Caenorhabditis elegans: one gene and its partners. The protein of the gene in region 2 purifies or fractionates together with the protein of the main gene of each other region. This does not show direct contact. Each region holds a gene or a part of one and is shown on either strand. Other genes may lie near its edges. The genes, in order: rab-14, F26H9.5, spg-7 and let-363.

Evidence for each region.
Region 1: the proteins of F26H9.5 (region 2) and rab-14 fractionate together in Caenorhabditis elegans (co-fractionation; one large-scale study listed by BioGRID). This does not show direct contact.
Region 3: the proteins of F26H9.5 (region 2) and spg-7 fractionate together in Caenorhabditis elegans (co-fractionation; one large-scale study listed by BioGRID). This does not show direct contact.
Region 4: the proteins of F26H9.5 (region 2) and let-363 fractionate together in Caenorhabditis elegans (co-fractionation; one large-scale study listed by BioGRID). This does not show direct contact.

What each region holds. Positions count from the first base shown.
Region 1 is NC_003284.9:15,604,077-15,608,223, forward strand, and holds rab-14 (Ras-related protein Rab-14), read right to left. Parts: upstream 2,560-4,147; 5' UTR 2,541-2,559; coding exon 2,435-2,540; intron 2,289-2,434; coding exon 2,044-2,288; intron 1,552-2,043; coding exon 1,433-1,551; intron 1,370-1,432; coding exon 1,207-1,369; 3' UTR 559-1,206; downstream 1-558. Other genes in the region: Protein nipi-3, read left to right, coding at 3,896-4,147.
Region 2 is NC_003279.8:9,312,113-9,316,409, forward strand, and holds F26H9.5 (putative phosphoserine aminotransferase), read right to left. Parts: upstream 2,377-4,297; 5' UTR 2,341-2,376; coding exon 2,220-2,340; intron 2,170-2,219; coding exon 2,100-2,169; intron 1,922-2,099; coding exon 1,840-1,921; intron 1,649-1,839; coding exon 1,355-1,648; intron 1,203-1,354; coding exon 657-1,202; 3' UTR 523-656; downstream 1-522. Other genes in the region: uev-3 (Ubiquitin-conjugating enzyme E2 variant 3), read left to right, coding at 1-38, 92-188, 275-492. UniProt on the Caenorhabditis elegans protein: Catalyzes the reversible conversion of 3-phosphohydroxypyruvate to phosphoserine and of 3-hydroxy-2-oxo-4-phosphonooxybutanoate to phosphohydroxythreonine.
Region 3 is NC_003279.8:3,465,573-3,470,167, forward strand, and holds the start of spg-7 (AFG3-like protein spg-7), read left to right. Parts: upstream 1-1,559; 5' UTR 1,560-1,561; coding exon 1,562-1,681; intron 1,682-1,730; coding exon 1,731-1,893; intron 1,894-1,935; coding exon 1,936-2,008; intron 2,009-2,549; exon of another isoform or gene 2,550-2,615; intron 2,616-3,713; coding exon 3,714-3,912; intron 3,913-3,969; coding exon 3,970-4,094; intron 4,095-4,595. Other genes in the region: Y47G6A.14 (RING-type domain-containing protein), read right to left, coding at 1-79, 137-206, 252-348, 392-437, 486-613, 665-716.
Region 4 is NC_003279.8:5,243,791-5,248,746, reverse strand, and holds the start of let-363 (Target of rapamycin homolog), read right to left. Parts: upstream 3,005-4,956; 5' UTR 2,967-3,004; coding exon 2,844-2,966; intron 2,789-2,843; coding exon 2,688-2,788; intron 2,635-2,687; coding exon 2,340-2,634; intron 2,296-2,339; coding exon 1,966-2,295; intron 1,917-1,965; coding exon 1,705-1,916; intron 1,661-1,704; coding exon 1,600-1,660; intron 1,550-1,599; coding exon 1,377-1,549; intron 1,238-1,376; coding exon 1,124-1,237; intron 1,078-1,123; coding exon 780-1,077; intron 173-779; coding exon 59-172; intron 10-58; coding exon 1-9. Other genes in the region: mrpl-47 (Large ribosomal subunit protein uL29m), read right to left, coding at 3,455-3,671, 3,720-3,841, 3,885-3,990, 4,041-4,205, 4,260-4,354. UniProt on the Caenorhabditis elegans protein: Serine/threonine-protein kinase that regulates the mRNA translation machinery, probably by modulating the activity of translation factors such as eIF-4G and eIF-2. It may have some protein kinase activity instead of lipid kinase activity.

The DNA of each region.
Region 1 (4,147 bases), on a different chromosome or scaffold from region 2:
TGAATTGTCGACAAATTGCGGGGTTGCCGATTTGCCTGAAATTTTCATTTTCGGCAAGTTGCCGATTTGCCGTTTGCCGAATATCAGATTTCCCGGAAATTTTTAGAGGGACTTTTTATAGAACGGAAACTCTTAAAACCGTTTTTTTTTGAATTTTTTCCGTTTTGTCTACATATTTTCATAGAATTTGCTTACTTTTCGAAATAGATGTAGGAATATTCATAGGATGCGTAAAATTTTGTCATTTGAAATTGGAATTCTAAAATTTCCAAAAAAATAAGTGCGAAACCACAATTTGCAGAAATTTTTTGGCAAGTTTCTTTTTTTCCAGCAAATTTGGCGAATCGGCAATTTGCCGATTAGCCGATTTGCCGGAAATCTGCAATTCCTGCAATCTGCCGATTTGCCGATTTGCCGGAAACAATCGTTTGCTGCCCACCCGTGACTAGAATCCCATTTCAGCCACGGATTACTCTGTCATTAGAAAAATTTACGCACACTTGAAAACACATTTGACTATTACTGGTGATGTTAACTTTGAAGATTGAGCACTTCATGCTTCAATGAATAGTTTTTTTAAATATTATATGTACAATTGAATTTTGCTGAAAAATGATTAAACAAAAAAAATAAATTTTGAAAAAGTTTTCTGAAATCATAGGTTCATAAAACTAACAACAGAGAACTATTTATAAGGAAAAGTGACAAAAATGACAAAAATCGTTAGTTTTTTTGATTTTCAAAGCACAATTATAGCACTTAATGGGGTGGGATCATATAGATGTTTCTTATCACACAAGGAATGGGGGAAAAATGTTCAAAACGGTTTTTGACAGAAAAAATCTACTAAATATGCAGTTGGTTGGGTGAGCGAAAGTGTTATATTATGAACGGTTCACAGTTCGATGATGATAGTGAGTAATGGGTGGGGGACTGAAAAAGACTGGGAATTGGTAAGTAAAAGTGACACAAAGTTCTGAATTTCAGAGTAGTTTTATAGTGATTACAAGTTTAGATTTTGACAGGCAACTAGAATTTGGAAACAAGAAACCATACCACCCAATGTTGATTCTTCTGGCATTTTAATGATAATGGGTGACAAGCTCTCACATACAGATAGACGGATTAGAAAGTAATAATTTAAAAAAATACATTAAAATCAATTGGGAATGATTTGAGGGGAAGAAGGGACTTTGCACACATCAACTAGCAGTTGCAGTCCTTCTTCCCATTATTTTCAGCTGCACGTGGCAAGTTCTGTTTTGGCTGGACGCCAGTGTCGGCGGCGTTCAAGTCCAAACTTCCGTCTTGGATATTCTGATAGATTTGCTTGGCCGTTTCGAGGAAAGCGTCTTCGACGTTACTGCCACTGAAAAAAAAGCCATTTGAAATTGATGAATTTGCAGTGGGGGGGTGGGGGGAAGAAACTTACGTCTTCGCACTGCACTCCAAGAAAGTGAGCCCGTTTTCTTCGGCGAAAGCTTTTGCTTCCTCGTATGGCACGTCACGTTGATCTTCGAGGTCGGCTTTGTTTCCGATAAGAAAGATGGCCTGAAAAAGGAACTTGTGAGAATTGGTGCTTGAATCTCATTTTTATTGTAAAATTAAATCAGTGCAAAGTGGACGAAATACTGTTTTCTTACTAATACAGGTAGATTTTTAACTCTCCAAATAAAACTAGATAACCCAATTTTAACTCGTTTTTTTTAGATATTAGTTTAACGATAAAACACACAATTTAGAGCACATACAGATTGAATGTTTTCCAGCTTAAATCTGATTCATGAGAATTTTGATTGAAATTCAGTTTATAGTCTACGATCTTTTGAGCTGCAAATAAATGTTATGCTTGCAAAAATTCATAAATTGCAATTTACTAAACATGGCGTACATCTATGTAGTTTTGAAATTTTGCTGAAAGTTCAAATTCGCTTTAATTTTGGAACTTGGGAATGCTTTTATAAAGTATAAATTCGAGTTTTTATATATTTTTCAACCCTACTTTTGAGTAAAAATTATAAACCAAGTATATATTTTACCTACCGTATTTGGATTGGTCAAGCTTTTTGCGTCGGCCAACCAGCTGCTCAAATGATTGTAGGTAGAACGGCGAGTGATGTCGTAGACCATCAAGGCTCCGGCTGCTCCACGATAATATGATCGCGTCACAGCGCGGAATCGCTCCTGGCCCGCCGTGTCCCAGATTTGAAGCTTGATCTTCTGTCCGCTGACCTCAATAATCCTGGTGCCGAATTCCACGCCGATTGTGTGCGGGCAGTCGGCCATGACTGAAAGTTAGTTATAGTTAGTTTTTGCGTTTGTTGCCCGCAGTGATTGTACGGTGGTTATTGACCGGAGGAACAGGTCTCTTGTTGATGACTAATGTTGACACAAACAACATGATATATCGATTTTCCAGGAATGCGGGACTTACACTTCTTTTCTGTGAACTGATGAAGAAGACACGATTTTCCGACACCCATATCACCAATAATAATATATTTGAAAATATACGAATAATTGTAAGGAGCAGCCGTCATTTTTATGTGTTTTTGTTACCTGAAAGTTGCGGATTATATTTTGGTTATTCGTTTCAGAAAAAAGGATACAAAAAAGTAGCAATGAGAATAGATAGACCACACAAAAGAAAGTGGCTATTAGAGACTGACTGCCAAGTTGTCATTAGTTGGAAGTAGGGGAAAACCGACGGGGAGAGAGAGACAAATGTGGAAGTAGTTGGGATAGAGAAAGATGAACGCCACGTCCAAAAGCAATAGAGAATCCATTGGCCTCCAGAAAGCTAAAAGAGGCAATGTCGGAGAGAGAGAGAGGAGCAGTTGTACGAGGAGTGCTACGCAATGGAATATCACGAGGAAAGAGACACTGGACAAAAACGGGGGCCCCTCCATTCCTCTATCTCTGTCTTCTCTGAGAAACGACGCGTCGCGTACTATCGACCGCGACGCTTGCAACGGAACTGGTCTCTACTGCGTGTCTCTAACGTCTCGCTCTCGGTGTGCGCTGTACTGTGCTGTCTGACTCTCGCCTTATGTGCCGCGTAGGAGACGGATTGGAGATGAAGAAAAAAACACGTAGAGAGACAAAAAGAGAGAAGAGTGAAATGACGAGTGAATGCGCACGTGTGTGTGGGCTCTAGCTTTTCTCCTTATTCATCTGTCATTGGTGTTGAGCCAGCTATCTTTTTCCTTGTTCCAAAGAGATCATGCTTTTTCTTTTTCATATACGTAGATGCCTAAGACATGGAAAAAACAATTATTTCCTCCTGCTTCTTGTTTTGCTCTTCAAATTCATCTTCAGAACAGAGTAAAATACTATAATATTAAATATGCTTAATAGCCTAATCAAATTGCAAATTATGACTTCAATTTCCAACCATGGCTCCCCTAATCGGTTACAACTCGTTTGTGAACAGTCTTACAGTTCTCGAGACATTTGATTTTATCACTATTCGACCATCTACCCACTCATTCTCTATCTCTCGTTTCGGTCCCCGTAGTTTCCTTCTCTGACACTTGTGTTGATCGTAGTGCCGCGATGATATTTCGCAATACCTGCTGATGCACGAGCTTCTCTCATCGCCACGCGCTCTCTTCCGATTCCTCTCGTCGTTTCTGTGATATGTGAAGAAGGGCGGTCCTCCCTCTAGTCATCTACAATGTAGTATTGCGAAATATTAAAAAAAAAAAAAACGGAAAATTCATTGTGAAACCCTCGCAGCCAGTAATGTTTCGCAATAACACCCCTTCATTCTTACCAATTCTAGGGTTATCATTCTTTGCATTTTCTTGTCTGTAGTCTACCAACTTTATCTCATTTGCTTCTTCTCCTTTTGTAACAATGTTCCCTAAACATTATTTTTTTTGTTTTTCAGGGTATGGCTCGTACAAAATGCAAAACCAAAACCGTAGCCAATCCTAGAACTGGAGTCAGAAAAACCGCAAAAGATCTTTCTGAACCAGTTCGTCAGGATGCCGTTTCAAGAAGGAGGCCCACAACTCTTCCTTTTGTTGGAAATACCTCAAGTCGTCCAAGGGTGTTTTACGATGTTCTAGCCAAGAAGAATGTCGTCTTCCCAAATGTCAAAGCAGAGTACCACTATAGAGTTCGCAATGCTCCGAAGATTGAT
Region 2 (4,297 bases):
CATTTATATTTCATCCGAATCTTGGGAAATATGGAAACGTAAGTTTAAAAACCTAATTTTGAAAACATTTAAATTTTTTGCAATTATTCAGTGGGACATGCGTGGAATTCAATGGGAACGACGATCCAATTTGGAAGTTTTATATAATTTTATTGTGGAAGGAATGCGAAATGTGAAATATGATATTGGTAAATTCTTTCTACATTTATAAGACATTTTAAACTACTTGGCTATCTAAATATCAACTAAAAAATTAAATTATGAACTCTTCCAGAACGTAGAAATCTTGCTCAATTGGAAGATATGTCACAACCGAATATCTCGCGGCTTGCTAAAGAGGATTGGCCGAAATTCGAGCGTACAGCCCGGGAATTTGTAATGAAAATGGCCGGAGGAACTATAAACGGACGCAAGACAATTTTTGCTGAAACAAAAAAAAGGAGAAGACAAGATTTTCTTGATGAAGACATTGATGTCATTGGAATTTCATAGTTTTCTGTTTTTTTTAAATAAACAAAAAATGTTAACCATTATTTATTGGTTCTTAAAATCACTTTAAAAATTCAAATACAAACAATCAAAAAGGCACATGAAGGTTTTTAAAAATCACAGACAAATTCAGAATAAGAATACAAGAAAAATATAGTGTCTCCCGACTAGTTAGTATTATGGAGTTTCTGGAACTCATTCATCCACGTGGCAAGTACTTGTGTCTCCTCGACTGAGATGGCATTATAGAGCGATGCACGGATTCCACCAACTGATCTATGTCCCTTTAAACTAATCATATTTCGTTCAATAGATCCTTTCAAGAACTTCTCCTCAAGTTCATCGTTTCCAGATGGACCGCCAATTCGGAAGCAAACATTCATAATACTACGGTAGCGTTTGTCAACGGCGCAGTGATAAAAACCATTTGAATTATCAATTATATCATAAATCATTCCAGATTTTTGAAGGTTTAGCTCATAGATTGCTTGAAGTCCACCTTTTGATTTTATCCATTTGAGAACGAGATTTGTTGTGTAGATACCTCCAGTTGGTGGTGTATTATACAAACTATTATTTGCAATCATTTCTTTATAACTGAAGACAGATGGAGTGATTGCTTGTTGCTTTCCGATAAGATCTTTCCGAACAATAACGATTGTAAGACCAGCGGCGCCAAGGTTTTTCTGAGCTCCACCGAAAACCACTCCGTGCTGAAATGAAACTTTTAAAAAAAGGTTAATGATTTTTTCATAAAACTTATTTGGTAATTTCACAAGATTTTCTCTTGCCAAAATCTTGTAAAATTAGGATAAAACATCTGGCTAATTTTCTAAAAGATTTTTATATACATAGTTGTGCTTACATCTTTAAAATCAAATGGTCTAGCCATGAAATTCGAAGAAACATCAGCCACCAATGGAACATTATGTGATTCTGGAGCAGTTGGAGTAAATTCAATTCCATGTACAGTCTCATTGGCACAATAATACAGATATGCGGCTTTTTCATCGTGAACCCAATTCTCTTGATCTGGTACAGTGACATACGGTTTTGATGGTTGAAAAACCTTCTTCACATTGATATATTTTCCAGCCTCATCTGCTGCTTTTGAAGACCACGCGCCTGTCACAATGTAGTCCGCGTGTTCATGATCACCCTATAAAGGAAACTTTATTTTTATATTTTATTTTTTATTGTGGGTATATTGAGATTTGCCTAACTTTTCAAGTCATAAGATTTTTTTTTCATTTTCTAGGAATGATAAATTGTTTTAAACAACATTTTTTTCTAGTTAGGGAAGTCTCAAAAGCCATCAGAGACGTGTTTCACTCTTATCATAAATTATACCTTAAGATTGAGAGGAATAGCGGCGAATTGACCGGTTCCGCCGCCTTGCATGAAAAGAATTTCAAAGTTGTCTGGTACGTTCCTGCAAATAGATTTTTATTAAGATTAAATGCCACTTCCGGGTTTTCTTTTTCTTTTTTTGAAGGAATGGAAGCATTTTGCACTTTAATTTTAAAAAGGCTTGGTGCACAATGTTTCAAGTTTCATCACTCTAGCTAGTTGAACTAATTACAGAATAATTTCAGAAACATCGAACTTACATAAGTTCCCGAATAAGACTGATAGTTTCATTGAGAAGAGCTCCGAATTCCTTCGATCTATGCGACATTTCTGAAAATTTGTCTTGAATTCTCACAATATCCGCATATTTCTTAATTTACCAATGACACTGACTCCTAGATTATTGAAATTGAGTTGTTCTTCTTGCATTTTAAGTAAAACTTCTTCAGGAAGCTTTGCTGGACCAGCAGCAAAGTTAATTTTTCGTCCGGGAGCTGCCATTTTATGGAGAAGAGGGTTAGTGTGTTTTATTGATTTCTGCAAAAATAGAGTAGCGGTTTCGCAAAAAACAAACGTTTCGAACAATGAGCAGGAATTCCTGCAGGAAAAGAAGAAAAAAAGAAGAAGAGTAATAGTATATTTATGATGCTGAGAGATTGAAGTTTAAAAACAATTCAGCGATTCAATTTACTTAAATTTAAATTTTTAAAAATGAATTAAAGTTATAATTTTGAATATTTTAAACTCAAAAGCAATTTATTGGAATTTCTTGTGTAAAAAATTGCAAAAGAATCCGTTGGATGGGTCAAGATTTAAGTATTAAGAGACCATGAGATCATGAGAATGCCTACCGTTTTGGCGCGGGAATATCTCGTAGCGAAGGCACCTAAATCTCTCGTCACCGCACGTTCTCTCTGCTGCCGCTACTTTCGCGCCACAAAGTAGGCATTCTCATGAACTCATGGTTTCGTAATATCGTAATTTTGAAAAGGCGCACAGATTAATTTGAACAGGTCTCGCCACTCGAAAAAGTTTATGGTAGCACTTTTTTCGGCGGTTGTTGTAAACGCGCTTTCCGTTTTTTTCAAACGAAAATTCTTTTAAAATCAATGTTTTTCTTGATAAAAAAGATTTAAGGAAATTTAATTTTCGAAAAGAACAGTTAGGAAAATAGGAAAGCGACCGCCGCAATGATAAAAAGTACTACCATAAACTTGTTTCGTGGCGAGACCCACCTCACTAAAACTGTGTACCTTTCATTTCGTATTTCAGAAAAATTCAGAATAACCATAACTTTTAGTAAATACGAGTAAACTTGAAACTTTATGTTTGTTTTTATATTTGGTTTGCTTTCAAATATTTGGAAGATTAAAAAATCCAACAAAATTTTTGAAAAGTGAACAATTTCGGGTTGAGAAATCAACGCTATCAAATAATTATCAAACAAATAATACTGATGTTTTTTTTTCAAAAAAAAGCTATCCAAAAATATAACAAATACCAAACATCTTCTAATTCAGATGACAATAGTCAGAGGACATAAATCGCTAAGCTAGCAAGCTGATCATTATGATAAGAAAAGGGGTACACGTGTACCAACAACCGCCATGCAACAAAATGAATGCATAAATGACGGAGAACAGGGAAAAGAAGAGGAGGGGAGGGGTATGATGTTATCATGAGACGACTCTTTTATGGAACAAAAAGAAAGTTATGAAAGTCACGTACACAGATGGTTTATTTAGATAAACTCATGTTTTTTGGCTATAATGGGGTTATTCAAGTAATGTAGCAAAATGTACTTAAATACATTTGTGACGTCACAAATGTATTTAAATACATGTTTTTATCTACTTGAATAAGGTTGTGACGTAATTTTTCTACACTTTTTAATTTTCCGACACTACTTGAATAACCCCATAAATGTCATCATAATGATGTAAGATTCGTGAGAACAATGGGTGTGTCTTTGAGTGGGATAAATTGGAAATTAAATAGGTCAACTGTTTATATGTTTGTACTAAAAACCGAATCGCTACAGGAAATGTTGCATAATGTAGTTGTAAATGTACAACTGACTGGCCCAAACATTAAACTCTTGGGAATATATTTCTGCCTTGTTGACATTGGAATCAGGCGGCAATCGAAAATTTTCGAGAATTCTGCAATTCGGCAATTATCGAGTTTAATAAACTTTTATTGTAGTGAGTCTTTTTTTTGGTAATACAATTTAACTTTTTTCCTTCCCAACACATAAAAAACTGGAGATTTTAATATTTCATTCTGAGAATTTTCTCGATAATTCGATAATTGCCGTTTTTCAAAATTTTCGGATAAAATTTTTTAACAAATTTCAACTTATAGCTCACTTTTTCAAAATTCTTATTGAACGAAACCAGGGATGTTTGCCAAAATATGTTCAGTATTAGTCAAAAATACTGAAAATCTAAATAGAAAA
Region 3 (4,595 bases), 5.8 Mb from region 2:
CAGTCTCGTGGCCCTGTGTGACATGAGATCGCAGTGCACAACTTCCACAAAGCGCCAACGATTTGATATCCAAATCCACCTTAAAAAATCATTTTTCAATTTTTTTTTTTTTTTTGAAATTGGATATTTTCCGGACCTCGGCACCCAAATTCTCCACGACGTCGTATTTGAAGGCATCAGTGACGCAATTGCGGCAGACGAACATGCTGGAAATTGAATTTTTTTGTTATTTCTAATTAAAAGAGGCCTACTCCGATTCGTTGTCGTATTTGGTGCATTGAGTGCAGTCCACTGCATTTGCAGGCTTCTTTGGCTTCTCACGAAGCTTTTGGATCATGGTCACAGCATCTGAAAAATAGTTTTTTTCGGGAAATATGAATATTTTTAAAACTTGTCAATGCAAAGTTTTTTGTTCGCTTCTCCTTGCTAACCACGGCCTGAAATTATTTTATTTTTAAACAGATATCAATATATTTAAGCCATACGCGGCATGTCGGGCATTGTGTCTGGCCACCAGATCCATATGCGTCAGAATAATCGCTTTTCAAGTGCACAATGCAAGTTTCGCATAGAGAATGGCCACAAGATATGATGAATGGAGCCTTTTGATCATCTGAAAATAAAAATGTGCTTGTTTTACAATAAAAATTGGGATATTTTTCACCAAATTCTTCCTGGCACACAGGGCAAGTCGGGAGTTCTTCATTAACATCCATTTTTCTCGAAAATTCTGAAAAATAAAGTTTTTTAAATTAGAAAAATCAATATTTTTAAATTTTCGTTATTTTTAATCGTCGAATAATTGAAATTTTCGTTTAAAATTAAGGAAAAACAATTTATACAATTTATATCCGGAAAAATTAATGTTTTTGCAAATATTTGAGTTTCAAGCGTTTTCGCTTCAAGTCTCAAGGAGGATAATGTGCTTGCGCCTTTAAAAACTACAGTAAGACCTTTGTTTATTTCGTCATCGAATTTCAATGTTTTGAATCAAATTTCCCGTGATTCCGGTTTGATTTTCACAATTTTATTATGTTTTTACACTATTTAATGAATTTTAATTCAGTATATAATAAAATCCATAGATTATCCACACTGAAAATCTACCAATACCGTCAGTTTCTCAAAAAAAAAACATTTGCCCAAAAAATGCCTGTTTTCCATGGAAATTCACATTGATTTTTAATTTCACAACGTTTTTTTTGCCAATTTCTTTCCAAAATTTCTCAAAGTACTTTCGCAAACTAATCGTTCACTTTTGCGTCATGGCTCTGTGCACTGGAAACTAATTTCAAACGACGCGCGCATTGTCTTGTGCGATGGAGCGCGCTTGCTATTTTCTAAAAAGTGCTCAGTATTTTTGAAGCTTTATGGTTTTTCCTTGTATTTTGCATAATTTTAAACATTTTTCTCGAGAAAAAATATTCGAAAAAGTAGAAAACGGCTGAAATTTGGTTGTTTTTAATTTTTTCCCTCGTTCCTCAATCTTAAAATCGAAGATTTCGTCATCTCTCACTGTTTGCGCAGTGCATGATTATGATAATTAAATTCTATTGCAGAAATGTGGCGATTATACCGAAAAACGCCGAAGCAGCTGAGAAATTCGGTCGAATCATGCTTCAAATCTGTCAATTCCCGCCAATTTTCAGTCAGCTCATTTTCAGCAGTAGCCAAAGATGATGTAATATTACCGCCTGCCAGTATACTGAAAATTCTGAATTTTTTTGCAGAAATCCGTGCTAAAACAACAAGAAGTTCTGCATCTTCTCGCAAAAGATCAGCGATTTGAAGAGCGATTCTTCAATCAAGTACAGCAGACAATTCGATATTTCGCCTCGAAACCAAATGATTTGAAAAAGTTCTTCAGGAAGGAAGCATCGACGGATAATAAAGGTTTTCAGAGGGAAATTATCATTAATTCGAAGTTTTTTCCAGAATCTTCATCATCTTCTGACAAAAAGGACAGCAAAGGAAATAAGGGAGAGGATAATAATCCGTTTAATCAATTGTGAGGAGGAATAGACACAAAAATCGGCTAATTTTGGCTAAAATCTGAAATTTCGCCCAAATTATCATCATTTAGATGCTTTTCACCACGTTATTTTGTTTATTGAAGTCTCGGAGAAGCCCCGGAAATCATTTCTAGTCGAATTTCTTTGGAGTATTTCAAAAAATTGACTTTTACAGGTTTCCCGGGCCGTATTTTGAACTTTTTGGCAAAAATTGTCCCAAAGATCCGGAAAAAACTTGTAAAATCCAATATTTTTAAAATAAATTGGTGATTTTAGCTAAAATTAGCAGTTTTTTTAAAAAGTTTTATTGGCAGAGCAAAAACCGTGCCAGAGTTGCAAAAATTGGCGTTTTTAGCATTTTCTCCATTTTTCCAGATTTTCAAAAATCGAAAATTCGGGATTTCGGAATCATTTCAATAAAATTCAAAATTTAATGAAATCACGAATTTTCCAAATCGTTGAAAAAAAATTCCGAGAAAAAAAAAACAAAAAAACGCCCATTTTTGCAATTCTGGCACGGTTTTTTGCTCCGCCCACGATGTTTTTGAGCGGGGCACCACGTTTTCAAGATCTACGAGAAGAAGATCTACGTTTTCAGGATCTGGCACCGTGCCAAGTGCAGTTTTCGCAGTTTTCTCGAAGAAAATCGAAATAACGATGCTCCGATATTACGCATCGCGAGTTGTTTAGCGTTTTTCAGAAGTTTTTATTCAAAAAAGGTTTTTCTGACTAAACAACGTGCGATGCGTAATATCGGAGCATCGTTGCTTTTTCTTCGAGTAGACTGCGAAAACCGCAGTTGGCATGGTGCCAGATCCTGAAAATGTAGACCTCCTTTTCGTAGATCTCGTTTCCGGCTAGATCTTGAAAACGTGGTGCCTCTTTTGAGCACATTTACCTTTTCTAAGATTTAAAAGTGGGGTACCGAAATCTGGAAAATATTTTCAAATGTCTCCAAATTTTCTTCTCATTCCAAATATCGATGTGAAAAAAATCAAAACAATTTTCTAGATTTTATATGATTTTTTGAAAATAGGAAAAATCACAGTTTTCACCTAATTATTTTTGAATTTCCGCCAATTGGATTTGTTCGGTGGAGCGTGCTTGCAGTATTTTTATCAATTAATTTTTTTAAATTCTTGTTCTTTGACTGATTTTCTTCATTTTCTATGTTTTCTCCTCGGAAAATGGAAGAAATAAACAAGACAAATGCAAAATTCTTGTTAAAAAGTAATTGAAAATGAGTAAAACTGTGAAATATACTAATTTCAGGCTTGTTGCCGTCGGAACTCAGAATATCACAGTTTTACTCATTTTCAATTACTTTTTAACAAAAATGTTGCATTTGTCTTTTTTATTTCTTCCATTTTCCGAGGAAAAAACATAGAAAATGAAGAAAATCAGTCAAATAACGAGAATAAATAAAATTAATAAATAAAAATAATGCAAGTGCGCTCCACCGAACAAATTCAATTGGCGGAAATTCAAAAATAATTAGGTGAAAACTGTGATTTTTCCAATTTTCAAAAAATCATATAAAATCTGGAAAATTTTTTTGAATTTTAATATCATGATATTCGGTCAATGTGACCCCATAGGCGCGTTTTAAAGCAATTTACCCACTGAGCGTAGTCCACCTTTAAAAAAACGGAGAAAACCTCTAAAACCCCTTAAAATCAATCTAATTCCTCCAATTTTCAGCCCAGGAGGATGGCAACAAATTGCCGTTTCAGTTGGAATTCTGCTCGCTCTCTACGCCTTTATGGATTATCAGTCGTATCGTGAAATTTCCTGGAAGGAGTTTTACAGTGATTTCCTGGAAGCTGGACTTGTCGAGAGACTTGAAGTAGTTGATAAGCGATGGGTTCGAATTGTTAGCTCGTCTGGAAAGTATGCAGGAGTTAGTTTTTTAGTTTTTGCACTGAAATTCGTGAAAAAATGAATTTTTTTCTTTCAGCAAACGTGCTATTTCAACATCGGAAGTGTGGATAGCTTCGAACGGAGCCTCGGAGCTGCTCAGCATCATCTCCAGTATGATGCTGATCGACAAATTCCGGTTTTATATAAATCTGAATTCAATTTGTAAGGATTTCTGCAAAAATCACTCCATTTCAAGAAAAATTAGAGAAAAAAAGAAAAAACCCCCGATTTTCTTAAAGAAAAAGCTCTGGGAAATGGGAAAAGTTATAATTTTTGCATGAAAATTCAGAAAAACTTTTAATTTTTCACATTTTTTGTAGTTAAAATTTTGTTTTTAAAGTGAAAACCTTCAGAAAGTCACTGAAAATGAAAATTTTGCACAAAAATTATGGAAAAAGTTGCTTTTTGCTCGTTTTTTGCACTAAAATTTCAAAAAAAAAATCCGATTTTTCTGATTTTTTGCCTGAAAATTTCAAAAACAAAAATTAATTTTGCTGGTTTTTTGCAGAAAAATTTTTAAAAAAACGCAGTTAGGCTGTTTTTTGCCTAAAAATTCGAGAAAATCTCAATTTTGCTGAATTTTTGCACTAAAAGTCTTTTAAAAAATCCGATGTTTCTGATTTTTTGCCAAAAAATTCAAAAAAAAAAATTTTGCTGATTTGT
Region 4 (4,956 bases), 4.1 Mb from region 2:
CAAGTAGTACTGAAAAACCACAAAATTACAGAAAAATCGAGAAAACTTTCGAACGTACATCTGCAACGTATTGCATGATTCTCTGCAAGGCACCTCTTGAGAAATAGAATTCACCGAGCACATCGACAGCCAGCACGATTCGTTGAAGCTCTTTTGGATCGGTTTCTGCTTTCTGAAATATAAATCTTTTGCATAAATACAACCCCAAAACTCTCATTTGAGATTTTTTGAATTTACTTCTTTGCACAACAGAAATATCGCCAATGAGAAATATATTTAAAACCATTGTTAATGCTAACATGATAAAATATCATAGGAAATCTGTTCGAAAAATTTAAATTTTAAAAAGTCGCCATTTCTATTTTCTTATTTTGCTGATTATGAAAATATTTGAAAACCCCGCAAAGTTTAGGTTTTTTTTTCGATTTTTCGGCTTTTAAATTTACGATTTCTGGAAACAAAAATCAAAAATTTCGAAAAATTTCTGGTCATTTCTCTATTTTTCAAAAGATAATTTCGATAAATTTATAGCTTCTCTGTCTTTTGTTTTTCGAACATATCTGAAAAAAGCGAAAAATCATACAAATTTTTAACGACGCCCTTGGTTCGAATATAGAAAAATGTCGAAACTTTGACGGAAAATTATTTCAAAAAAGATAAAATTGTAAGCGTTTTTAAATCTGATGGGATTCTGATCTTTATTTAAAAAATGTTATGTGCTTTTCAGATTCAAAAAAATTACTTCGAGCAAAATTATAAAATTTCTCTACGAAACAAACCTGCAAAATAGCTTTAGGACTCGCAGGCCTTCCAATCGGTTCGGATTTTGGTGGAATTAGAGATCCAGTGAGTGTTTGATAGACAGAAGCCATAACACCATCTTGAACATTCAGCCGCAGTTTCGGAATTCTCATCATAATCATTTTTAGCACGTTTGCCAGCGATCGAGACAGGGTAATATCCATTAATTGTGGAATTATTGCCTTGATTTGTGTCGTCACTTGTTCGTGATAAGCATCCACAAATAGGAACAGGAATGTGAAATAATTATCGAGAACATCAGAATTCGTCGTTTTTCTACAAAATTTAACTATTAAAAAAAGTGTACTAATTTCAAATTTACTTGATAGCAGCAGAGATAAAACTGATTGTTTTCTCGATATGTGTGGCATGTACATCTGGATTCGAGAGCATCATCATTCCGATTGCTGGAGCAGCGACCGCATTTCTTTGAAGACTGAAAAAATTGAACATTATTGGAAATTTTGAATCACCATAATTTTTTTTGAGTCTCGTTACAAAATTCGTTTTTAGCGCATTTCGAGTCTATAAAAGCTAAAAGCCCATAAACATCAGTCCTCTTCCATTCTACGTACATAGTAAATGAAGTGTCGAATGAGATTGTTTGAAAAGTTCGATCACATTGTGGAAATGCACAAATTCTTGGTAGAAGCTGCATGAGAACTGTATTCAGGTAAATCGAGCTTTGCTGTTTCGTGGATGAAGTTTTGTTTGCGAGAGGTATTATCTGACGAACACAATCGAGTATCTGGAAAAAAACATAACAAATTTCGGGAAATGAAGAATTTCAGCTTTTACCTTCGGAAATCGTTCCAAAACCAGCTTTCGAGCAGTCACACTTTCCACAATAGTTTGTTGCCTTAAAAATACAAGTTTTTAAATAGATGAAAAAGAATCGATTACTTAGTTAGGACAAGCCATTCAACACCTTCTTCTTCGTCTTCTTTCAAAAACTTTTGTTTAATAAACTGTGAGGATTCACATCTGATGAGTTCGAATCGTTGATCAGAAATTCGAAGAAGTTCATTGAGAATCAGGGCGACGGCATGCCATCTATCCAAATCGTCCTTTTGCGATGGGTTTGGTTGACCTTCCAGTGCTTCATCGAAACATTTCTGGAATATAAAATCATTCTAACGAAAGATCAAAATTTTAATTGATCACCTTAAACCACTCAGTTTTATTCTTTGCTTCACGCTGTGAAACAATTGTCAAAACCACGTGTAATGCATCAATTCCGGCGATTCTTACAGCTGGATTCTTGTCTCTGACAGCGTTGAAGATATACTTGAAAAATAAGTTTACACGAAGAAAGAATGCTGTCGGTGTGGCCAGTGCGAGCTCACGAGAGAGGTGTGAAGCGGCGAGTCGACGAATTTGATCAATTTCCTGTTGATTTTTGGGTTGCTGACTATGTGGAACATTTTGACCAAGCCATTCGTGGCAATGATCAAGACAACGATCAACCAGCTCGGCCGCGTATGATTTACAAGTCTGCAAATGTTTAAAATTGGTTTAAAAAAAATTAAATTACTTACCGCAATCAGAAAAGCGAGAGCTTTTGAAGCCATCTTGACTGTATCTTCATCTAATCCATTTCCATTATTTAACATTTTCAGAAGATAATTCGCATATCGAATAACATTTCCAGAATGAGTTTCAGCTAAGCACACGATGAGATAGATACCGGCTCGTTTCTGATCGATATTTGAATTCGACTTCATACAATTATAAATTGCACTCTGAGAGGCTATATCTGTTCGTCCATCGATTGCATTCAGGAAAGCATCACTAAAAGTATTTGGCTCGTCTTTCAGCTCACTTCGAACATATCTGAGGAAAATAATATATTTAATTTATTGACTTTTATTTAAAAAAAAAACTACCTGCTGAGTTCTCGAGCAGCCTGTCGTTGATTTGCATCTCTATTTTCCGTAATTCGGCTCCGATATTGTGAAGCAAGAGCTCTTGCAGCATCAATCCCTTGCTGAAATATGATTTTTTTTTCCTTAAAAATTGTTTAAAGGAGAAGAAATACTAACTTTACGATGCCGCTCGTCAAATTCATTTGTAGCTGGAGCGGAGACTATTCGATTGGAAGTTGTGGCTGCTTTGTTCTGTCTATCGGCATTCATTTGAAAACTAATTCCGTGTTGTTGGAGCATTTTTCAAAGATGTTTCTGCCGATTTAGTGCATTGTGGGCTTAAAATTACGTTAAGAATAAAAAGTTATGAGAATGATCAGAAGCATAGAAAATCACTGGTTTTTTTCCGAAAATAAAATTATTTCCAGCTGAAATAATCAAGAAAGTGCTCAAAACTGGCCGTTTTCAGAAAAATATAGCTTGATAGTTCGATAATAGACAACTTTCAGGTAATTTTTTACCACTTTTTAAATTTTTTTCAGCTAAAAATTAGGTTTTTTTTCCTATGTAAATCAAGGGATTTTCAATGAAAAATATGAGAACAACACGGAGCCTTTTGTAATATCAGATAACTATGGGCTGACAAAACCCGTTGCATATTTCAAAATATCAAGAAAAAAGAACAATGGATATTCTTTGAAAAACTAAATAAACTGAGGAAGGAAGCAAAGCAAACAACATTTTTAAAAGCCTACTCGAAAACAAAAAAAATATCTAGAAACAACTTTTTATCGATTGAAAACTCGTGGAGCTCCTCTCTTGAATCTGTCCATGTCTTCTGTTCGTGCCGCTCGTCTCTTCTCATCATCCAATCTATCTCGATTTTTCATGAATTCTTTTTCCTGCCAAAGCTTCTGCATCACGTAGGCATCGTCGTCGAGATATGGAGTTTCGTATTCTTTCTGGCCGAGTTGAGGTGGTGCAAAGTGTTCTGTGGCTTGTTTTCTGGAACATATTTTTATTTTAAAAAAATTAATTTTATCAGGAACTCACTGATATGTAAATCCAGCGAATGAAGTGATTGTTCTCTTGCGTGGAGCCGCGGATTCTCCAGTTTCCAAACGGAAGACCGCATCATTTCGCTCGTGAACTACTGATTCTATACGATCCATTGTCTGAAATATATCATTTTGCATTTATTAAATTTTTAAAATATACCTCATGAACACGATCAAGTCTCTCTGGGTTTGGCATGTTCCGGGCACGTGAAGTGTGCGCTTTTTTCATCGTTATCAGCATATTTCGCTCCTTCAAGCACACATACCTTAAATTTAAATTTTTAATAAATTTAAAACCGAATTGCCATTAAATTACCAAAGCTTATGCAAATCTGAATTGCTTTTTAATCTCAGTTCTTCTGCTGTCCACGATCTGCCCGGCCGATGTTTCGGGCGGAGCTCTGCTTTTCCAAAATTCGCTTCATCATCGAAAAATTGTTTCATTGTACTGGAAAATCGTGTGTTGACGGCATTTTGTGATCTAAAAGAAGCAAAAATTAACTGGAATTCAACAAACTTCGATTTATCAACTAACCGAACAGCCGAAGACACCAAACTCGGTAAACTACGCCACATTGTAGATTTGAAGAACCTCAAAGAATGAAAATTGGTAAAATCAAAATTTTGCATATATAAAGAGCAAAATATTCAATAAAAACAAAAGAAAACATTAAAAAATAGAATATTTTGGAGAAAACCTTGCTGCCAAAAAATAATAAATGGGCGGCAAGTGCGCTCCACCGCACAATTGCCTCCCCCATAGCAGAGGTAATTCAAAAAATAGTTTTTTCTAGATAAAATTTCAATAGCAAGTTTTAATACTTTTAACATGGGTTTTCAGTAAAACATTGAATTAACTTCAAGTAATTATTTCTTGAAAAAATTCTTCGACAAAAAAGTTCATTTTAAGTCAGATATTAATTTTTGAAATTATGAAAACTTAGTTAATCTCCCAATAAATAAATGCGGTCATTTATATGCCTGGAGGTCAGTTTTTTTGATTAAACTGGAAGCTTCTGGCACCTAGAAAAATTTTGTTATTAAATTTTGAAAGCGCTTAAAATTTGAAACAAGTCCCCGAAGAAACATTTTCAAAAAAGTTCAATTTAAGTCAGATATTAATTTTTGAAATTACGAAAACTAAATAAATCTCCCAATAAAAAATGCGGTCATTTATATGCCTGGAGGTCAGTTTTTTTGATTAAACTGGAAGCTTGTAGCACCTAGAAAAA